Coturnix japonica: one gene and its partner. The protein of the gene in region 1 interacts with the protein of each later gene in a pairwise test. Links are inferred from orthologs where the notes say so. Each region holds a gene or a part of one and is shown on either strand. Other genes may lie near its edges.

What was found.
Region 2: the proteins of UROD (region 1) and LRATD2 interact in binary tests that used the Homo sapiens proteins (3 or more experiments, as listed by UniProt). The two-hybrid records come from large-scale screens. The link is inferred for Coturnix japonica from reciprocal best matches to the Homo sapiens genes UROD and LRATD2.

What each region holds. Positions count from the first base shown.
Region 1 is NC_029523.1:18,554,099-18,558,554, forward strand, and holds the start of UROD (uroporphyrinogen decarboxylase), read left to right. Parts: upstream 1-1,472; 5' UTR 1,473-1,487; coding exon of another isoform or gene 1,488-1,510; intron 1,511-2,043; 5' UTR 2,044-2,085; coding exon 2,086-2,230; intron 2,231-2,336; coding exon 2,337-2,416; intron 2,417-2,674; coding exon 2,675-2,737; intron 2,738-2,832; coding exon 2,833-3,030; intron 3,031-3,251; coding exon 3,252-3,413; intron 3,414-3,555; coding exon 3,556-3,693; intron 3,694-3,892; coding exon 3,893-3,993; intron 3,994-4,209; coding exon 4,210-4,276; intron 4,277-4,409; coding exon 4,410-4,456. Other genes in the region: E3 ubiquitin-protein ligase HECTD3-like, read right to left, coding at 61-221, 881-1,201. UniProt on the Homo sapiens protein: Catalyzes the sequential decarboxylation of the four acetate side chains of uroporphyrinogen to form coproporphyrinogen and participates in the fifth step in the heme biosynthetic pathway.
Region 2 is NC_029517.1:125,552,931-125,557,257, reverse strand, and holds the start of LRATD2 (protein LRATD2), read left to right. Parts: upstream 1-1,421; 5' UTR 1,422-1,716; intron 1,717-1,811; 5' UTR 1,812-1,816; coding exon 1,817-2,719; 3' UTR 2,720-4,327.

The DNA of each region.
Region 1 (4,456 bases):
CTAGGAACAGTATCACTTTCCACAACCTACATGGAAGGGATGTGAGCCACAACCCCATACCTGATCACAGGTTTGTAATCAACCCCAAACAACTGCTGCTGCCTCTGGATCCTCTCTGTGGACTCAACTGGGACCAGCCTGTCCCCTCCTTCTGCATGCTTGCACACCAGGACCCAGCCTTCCTCCAGATCACAGCCACTCTTGTATTCTTCCAGCTGCTCCTGTGGGGCAAAATACATCCTGTACGGACCCCCTGGACCTCTACAACTCCTTGAAAGGAGGTTGCAGCAAAGTGATGGTGGGCCTCTTTTGCTGGGTAACAGCAATGGGATGAGAGGCAGTAGCTTCAAGTGGCCCCAGGGAAAGCTCAGGCTGGATATTAAGAACAATTTCTGCTCCTAAAGAACGGTGCTGCAGTGACACAGCTGTCCAGGGCGGTGGTGGGGTCACCGTGCCTGCAGGTGTTCCACAGCAGTGGGGATGTGGCACTGAGAGATGTGCTCATTGGGCACGGTGGGGTGGGGGTAGGACTGGGTGATCTCAGAGATCATTTCCATCCTTAATGACGGTACGATACCACAGACACACTCAGCATTGCACTAAGGGCCCCGGGCCTCACATCGCCACCAAGGCCCGAGCCTGGAAGGGACAGTGGCACGGGGTGTAGACACGAGCGATGAGGAAGGCGGCCGGAACACAACCAGGTGGCGACAGGACGCGGCCAGAGGGCGGCGGGGGGAACGAGGCGATGTCAGGGGCCGGCGGGGCGGCTCTCCACCCAAGGGCCGGGGACCGGGCCCCTCCGCGGGCAGCGCAGGCCCCGAGCCGCCCCCCGCTCCGCGGTAGGCCCGGACCCTCGGAGCGCAGCGGGGGGCGTTACCTTGCTGAGCTTCACCCACAGCCCCGCTCCGTTGCAGTACTCCTCGCCCGTAGCGCGGAGGCAGCCGCCCTTCCGCACCTCGATGGTGGCCCGCGCCGCCCGCTTGGAGCCCCGCGCCGGCCCGGGGCTGTCCCACACGCTGAACAGGCTGCGGGACGAGGCGGCGGCCGACGGGTCCTTGCAGATCTTGTACTGCACCTCGCGGGGCACGTAGCACAGCGCGGCGGGCAGCGGCCGGGAGCGGCGGAAGCATTCGCTGCACTGCAGCAGGAACCGCAGCCGGCCCAGCACCTGGTGCGGAGCCTCGGCGCCCGCCCGCATCGCGCCCCGCAGCTCCGAGCCACGCACCGCCGGTGTGACGGGGGTCGGTGCTCACGGCTTTACGGCAAACCACGCCCGCCGCACAGCCAAGATGGCGGCGCCCGCAGGCAAGATGGCGGCGCCCATGAAGCGTACGGCGAAGAGGGGAGCAAAGCAAGATGGCGGCGTACGGAGGGGTGAGGGCGGGGCAAGATGGCGGCGCCCGGTCGGCGTGCGGAGGGGAGGGGTCACGGTAAGATGGCGGCGGGGCGGGGCGGGATGAGGGCGGGGCGGGAAGCGAGACGGGATGGAGGGCAGCGAGCGGCTGGTGTGAGTAACCGGGAGCGGGGTCAGCGGGGGCTACGGGATCGGGAGGGTGACACGGAGCGGCCACGGGGCTCATGGCGGCCAGAGCGGCGTGGGACCGGGAGCACGAAATGGGACGGGACGGGCGGGACGGGAGAGTGCGCTGTGATCAACCGGGACCTGACCCCGAGTGTTGGGATCAACCGGGACCTGACCCCGAGTGCTGTGATCAACCGGGACCCCGAGTGCTGTGTCCAGCCGTGTCCCCGAGCTGTCTTGCTGCGGGCACGGGGCCGTTCCTGAGGCGCTGCTCACTCCGCTGCTGCGGTACCGGCCCCGCTATGGAGCTCTGGGCTCCGTCCATCGGGCTCTGGGCTGCCCCCATCGCGGCCCACACGTGTGCCCCCCCGCCATGCAGCCCCTGGAGCTCTGTGTGATAGATAGCGCCGTGCCCTGCAGGCACACGGCCCCTGTGGGAGCAGCTGCAGCCGGCGATAACGTAATCGCACCGAGGGGCCGTCGCCCCGCTGCCCCCAGAGAGGCCCGGCTCCCTGCAGCCAACAGGTCTGAGAGCCAACAGCGCTGCCCCGGTGCCCTCCATGGTGACCAGCCCCGCCTGCTGTTCTTCCAGCCCCAAGGGCTTCCCCAAGCTGAAGAATGACACGTTCCTGCGGGCGGCTCGTGGAGAGGACACGGAGCACACCCCGGTGTGGTGCATGCGGCAGGCGGGGCGATACCTGCCGGGTGAGTGGGGGTGGCAAATAGGGCTGGGATGGTGGCATATAGGGCTGGGTTGGGGGGGGCAATGGGAGCCAGCACAGCCCTCGTCACCACGGCTGGTTCCTTGCAGAGTTTCGGGAGACCCGGGCTGCTCAGGATTTCTTTGACACTTGCCGGAGTCCCAAGCTGTGCTGTGAGCTGACGCTGCAGGTGATTGTCCTCTGTGGGGGTTGTGTCCCATTTCCCCTCTTATAACAGAGGTGGCAGGAAACTTTCGGTCTGGCCTTTACCCCCAAGTGGCTCACTAGGTTGTGCAGCCCAAAACGTGGCTCAAAGTCCCTGAGTTCATCCACAGAGTGACCCCCCAGCATCAGACAGGGCCCTGCCCACCCACTGCACCCCATATGCGTGTCCCAGCCCTCATAGGGACAGGGACCCACGCTACGTTTTTCTCTCCGCCATCCACAGCCACTCAGACGATTCCCTCTGGATGCTGCTATCATTTTCTCTGACATCTTGGTGGTGCCCCAGGTGAGTTACAATCAATGGTGGGGAGCAATGACTGGGCACGGGGCTGGATCCAGAACTGCCACATTCCTGCCTCTTCCATTCTCCCCCGTCCCCAGGCACTGGGCATGGAGGTTGTCATGGTCCCCGGTAAAGGACCCACATTTCCAGAGCCCCTGAAGGAGGTGGAGGATCTGCTGAAACTACGGCAGAAGGTGGACGTGACTGCAGAACTGGGTTACGTCTTCCAGGCTGTGACACTGACACGGCACAGCCTGGAGGGCAAAGTGCCCCTCATCGGCTTCTCCGGGGCACCTGTAAGTGATAGGAGTCTGCAAAGTGGGTTTTCCTGCTCTTCCCTCTGGAGTAGCGCTGGTCTTGGCACCTCCAGAGCTGCAGGGACCAGCTTGTACTCGTCCTATATAGGCAGAGAACTAGTAGAGCTGCTGCTCCTGCACACAAGTCTGTCTTCAGCACTGATCCCACAATTATCCCCTCACATGTTTTTCATCTCACCCCGCTCCTCTCCTTCTTGCAGTGGACGCTTATGTCCTACATGGTTGAAGGGGGTGGCTCCACTACGATGGCAAAGGCCAAGAGCTGGCTGTACCGTCACCCTGAAGCAAGCCACCGACTGCTGAGGCTGCTGACTGATGTTGTCACCGACTACCTTGTGGGGCAGGTGGCTGCTGGAGCGCAGGTGTGTCCTGAGGCATGGGGACAGGTCCTCAGGAGGGCAGGGACTGGGGACAAGAAGCAGAGAGGTCCAGCTTGTGAGATGAGGGACTGAAGCACTGCACTGCATAGTACCTGCAGCTCACCCAGCCCTTTGTATCCAACAGGCGCTCCAACTGTTTGAGTCTCATGCAGGGCATTTAGGCCCAGAACAGTTTCGGGAGTTTGCCCTGCCATACATCCGAGACATTGCCCGGGATGTTAAGAGCAAGCTGAAAGCAGAGGCACTGCCACTGGTGCCCATGGTAAGTGGGCAAGCTGCCTGGGATATCCCTGTTCCCTGGGAGCACATGGAGGATTATGGCTGCGAGGAGAGGCTGGGAGAGGGTACAAAGGGATGCTACCAGGATAGCAGTGTGACAGGGTCTGTACCTGTATCTCTCATTGTCCCTGGCATCTGGAGCTCTGTCTCCTGGAGTTACTGCCCATTTCCTCCTTCCCCAGATTGTCTTTGCGAAGGACGCACACTACGCACTGCGTGATTTGGCACAAGCTGGCTATGAGGTTGTCGGTCTTGACTGGACCATCCAGCCCCAGGAAGCTCGGTAAGAGTCTGGCACAGCACTCTTATCCTGACCCTTCCCTTTGTCTGGCTGCCCTGCTGCATTGCAGGCCTGAAATTTTCTGGTGCAGAGGAGAGGATAGTCAGGCCCCAGTGCTTTGTGAAGCTCACAGCAGCCGGGAGCTGCACAAGGGGTCCTGTAGCTGCTCCTGATCTCTGCACCACACACAGCAACTCACCTGTTTCCTCCCTGCTCCAGTGCACAGGTAGGGAAAGGTGTCACTCTGCAAGGAAACCTGGATCCCTGCGCTCTCTATGCACCCAAGGTGAGCCATGGGCCTCCTGCCTCCATTTCCCCACTTACAACCCTCACTCATGTCCCAGGCTGATGGTGGCTGGGACTGGTGGGGATGGGGAACCTTGATGAGGTTGATACATGGTTTCCTGTGACATCTACAGGAGAAGATCGGGGAGCTGGTGAAGAAAATGCTGGAGAGCTTTGGGAC
Region 2 (4,327 bases), on another chromosome or scaffold:
ATAGCTGAGGTTGTCTGAAACCTCTTTGTGATGAAAAATGAATCAAGCCACCAGGGGACCCAAAACACAAGGTCCCCATTCAGCTGCCCATCACTCACTGCAGTGCTGGGGCTGTCCCGGGGAGCACCACACGCATCTCTCCCTCCCCATCTCCTCTCCCCACACCTAAACACGTGGCTGTATCTGAAGCCACAGCAGCACATCACCAGATAGAAATGGCATTCTCTGAGCCTACAGGCAGCACCCAGCACCCCATAAAACTATGCCTGTTCCTGCACTCACTGCTGTTCAGCAAACCCTCCAAGCAGCGGTGTGCAGTTGGGTTTATAAATTACAAGGCAACAGACAATGAGACAAAATTAAAGACATTACTCCTGGCTCCCATAAATTATCTCTGTAGTCTATTTGAACAGCATAGATTTACCAGCACATGTGGAAATAGGAAGAATACCCACCTAACAGACTAACTGGGTATTAATGAAAAAGGAGAATAGAGTGTTGTGTTCTCTGAAATGCAAAAAGAGAAATACTCCCACTGGTCCCGATAATGCCGTTCCAGGGGGAACGAATCATCATCTTCCATATTGAAAAAGAGTGCGATCTCGTGGAGTCAAAAAGAAAAGAGATTTATTAATAAAACTAATTACACGCTTCGCTCATGGAAGAATGCAAGGCACCGAGTAGCCCAGGAGAGCCGGGCTCTGTGATTTCGCCGCGTTACAAATTCCCCGCTATTGCCGGCAGCTCTCGGCGGGGCTTAGGACGGGGATCCTCAGAGGGGTGCAGCGGGATCACCCCACGGCCCCGCACGGCACTTCTCATCGCCTCTCGGCGCCGTCCCGAGCAAACTCCGGCTCCCGGTTATCCCAACCCCTCTCCGAACCGGCGGGCTGGGCTGTTTCATGGCAGCGCTCCCTTAAAGGGGCCGCGTACGAGCACGCGTGTGAGTTGGTGCGTGAGCGCGTTGCACACGCAGCCGTAAGCGCAAAGAGCCCGTCCGACCTCCGCCCGCGGATCTGCCTCGGCGGGGAGCAGAGCGCTTGGCATGTAGAGCGAGGAGAAAGAAAAAGGTGGGGAGAGGAGGAAAAAGGGAAGGAGGGGGGAAAGACGGAAGGAAGGGGGGGGAAAAAAAAGAGAGGAAGGAAAAAAAAAAAAAAAAGAGCTGCCTCTTTAAATGCTGGGGGCTGAGCGCTCGCCGGGGCGTCCGCAGCCGGATCCAGCGTCCCTCCTCTCGGCCGTGTCTCCCCGGCGCCTCCTGCACAGCCCCGAGTGCCGGCAGCGCGGCTGCGGGCGCTGCTGCTGCGGGGAGCGCGGAGCGGGGCCGGGGGGGCCATGATCGCACCCGCCCCCAGGAGCCGCGCCGCCTCCGCCCGGGAGCCCTAAAGCCGCTCGGCGCCGCGCTGCCGTTCTCCGCGGTAAGTTTGCGGCCACACGGTGCCGGCGCGGGGGCGAGTTGAACCGGGATGGCTCACCTCCGCCAGGGGTGGAACTCCGCCGTCTCCAGCTCGGACCTCCGGACCCCCCTTTTAGCCGCGCCCTCGGTCCCTAACAGGTGGCTCGGTGCTCCCCTTCGGCGCCTTGCTCCTCCTTGTTGCCGGCTAACAGGTGGCCGTGCTGCCTCACCTGCCCCTGGGCTCTGGCAGTGGTCCGCGGCTGTCACCTTTATTCCCCCTCGGCTACTCGCAGGGCTGTGTTGCAGCATGAAGTGTGGTTAAGGTGGGGAAGGGGAGCGGGGGTGGACCGTGCTCTGAATCCCTGCTCTACTGTCTCTCTGGCCCCTTGATAGCCACGCTGTGTGTGTGTCGTTACAGCGGGCATGGGGAACCAGGTGGAGAAGCTGACCCATCTGAACTACAAGGAAGTTCCCACGGCTGACCCGACTGGCATGGACAGAGATGAAGGGCCCAGGATCGGGGTCTCCTACATTTTTTCCAATGACGACGATGAGCTGGAGCAGCAGCAGGACTCGGGACATGACCTCGGGGGTGAGCACCCTGCCCTGCAGCCCTACGATCCCCAGCTGCATGAGGTGGAGTGCTCTGTTTATTACCGGGATGAATGCATCTACCAGAAGAGCTTTTCTGAGGAGGATGTGCTGCCGGAGGAGGGTGAGGAAGGAGGCAGGGGACACCTGAGCACCTACACCCCAGAGAACCTGCTGAACCGCTGCAAACCAGGTGACCTGGTGGAGTTTGTGTGCCAGGCCCAGTACCCACATTGGGTGGTCTACGTGGGGGATTTTCAGGTTGTGCACCTGCACAGGCTGGAGGTGGTGAACAGCTTCCTCACCGATGCCAGCCAGGGCAGGCGGGGCCGTATTGCCAACCAGCTGTACCGCTACAAACCCCTCAGCCCTGCCACGGTGGTACGTAACGCCCTGGAGCAGGTGGGCTGTAAGGACCGGGACCTGAGCTGGAGAAACTCAGAGTGTTTTGCTGCCTGGTGCCGCTACGGCAAGAGGGAGTTTAAAATCGGCGGGGAGCTGCGCATCGGCAAGCAGCCCTACCGCCTGCAGATCCGGCTGGGCGACAAGCGCAGCCACACGCTGGAGTTTCAGAGCCTGGAGGATCTGATCATGGAGAAGAGGAGAAATGACCAGATCGGTAGGGCTGCCGTCATCCAGGAGCTCTCCAGCCACCTGCAGGCTGCAGAGGAGGAGGACGACGAGGAGGAGGAAGATCATCCCCACCATCCAGGTGCCCGGACTGCTGTGGAGTAGTGCCTCAGCACCGCCATGCTACTCGGGCTGGGTGATGGGGATTAAAACGGAAGGCTGCGAAATTGAGCTGTTATAAACCCTTTGGGCGGCTTCAGTGCAGCTTCATTCCGATCACATGTGAAAGGAAGGGGGAAAGCTGATTAAGTGTCTGTGCTTTAGTGCTTAACTCCTTCAGTGCTCGATGATTAAAAAAAAAACAAAACACTGACTTATTGTAGAGGATAAAACTCAGGGCAACTCTACCCTTCTCTGCTCCCACCTCTTTCCCTTCCTCTGTGCCAGCCCTTCCCTCCACCATCTGCCAGTAGGCCTGACCCTATGGGATGCTAAATGCCTTTGACATCTACTTATCGGCAGAAGTTAGGAGTACTTAATACTATTAAGGAGCCAACAGCTTCAGGACATGGCCATGTTTATTTGAGTGTATGATCAGTCGGTAGCCAGAAAGTGTGATATGTTGCTGTCATTTCTCTGCCTGTTTCTCTTCAGTTGTGGCTCAGTTGGTCTTGCAACAGGCTGCTTGCTCGCTTGTGTGGTGCTAGGCTTTATGGATGGGCGGCCAGCTCCCCAAGAGGTGCAAGGGAGAAATCAGTGCTGACTTCAGTGAGATGTTTTTGTGTTCGGTGCTTTCTTAATTAATAGAAATGTGCAGGTAAGCTGGGGGAGCTCTGCCTCTGCTAGCAGCACGTGGTTTGATTGGGGAGAGAGGAGCTGTTATTGCTGACTGGTCCCAGTGAGGAGGAAGCTTGCAACCCTGATTGCAGAGTCTGCGCATTGGTGCGTGCTTGGGCTCTTATAGGCAGATACTGAGCTGTGCTGGAGCTTGTTACAGGCTTCCCCTAAAGCAGACAGCAGAGATCCCGATGACATCTGTGGAGAGCATAGAGGCCATAGAAGTAGGTTGTTTGTGTGTACCAGCACATCTTCACTAAGCTACACCTCAAGAAGGGTGGTCTCATGATTGGGAGTGTGGCAGAGGTCCTGCACAGCAGCACTCCCTCCCTGCGATGGGAAAGGAGTGCAGGATGGAAGGCAGGGGCGTTAGTTCTATTTTCCCTCCTTTATCACAAAGCAATTTCTTCTTTAGAGACTTTGTGTTTCCTTATTTTCTACTAATTTTTCTGTTGTGCAGCTGAAATATAACATCGGAAAAGAGGATTTGAATTGGGAGTTGTTATGTAGGTCCCCTATTAAGTGGGTTGGGGGGTGCAGCGCTGCCTTCCTTGAATGTTCCCTGAATTCTGCTTTCAGCTGTTGAACTGTTCTCCCACGTGGGCGCCATCAGATCATTGTCCTGAGATCTTAAGTGTGCAAGCAAACAGATTTGGACGCCTGCTTATAATACAAAATTCCTTCCCTTTAAAAGCACAATAGTGAAGAGGTGAACCTGAAGATAAGCTTGAGCTCATTTAAATAACAGCAGTTCACGTTGTGCTGTAAACTTGGAAGCATTGTTACTGCTGTCTTCCCTGCGGTTGTTTATGGTTATACCACAAATAGAAAAGTACTCCATGTCCTTTATGCCCCTTGGGAGCAAAGACTGTCGATTAGGAAGTTGATAGCAATTTTTGATTAGTTAGAACTACATAAAGCAACTTTGACAGTATG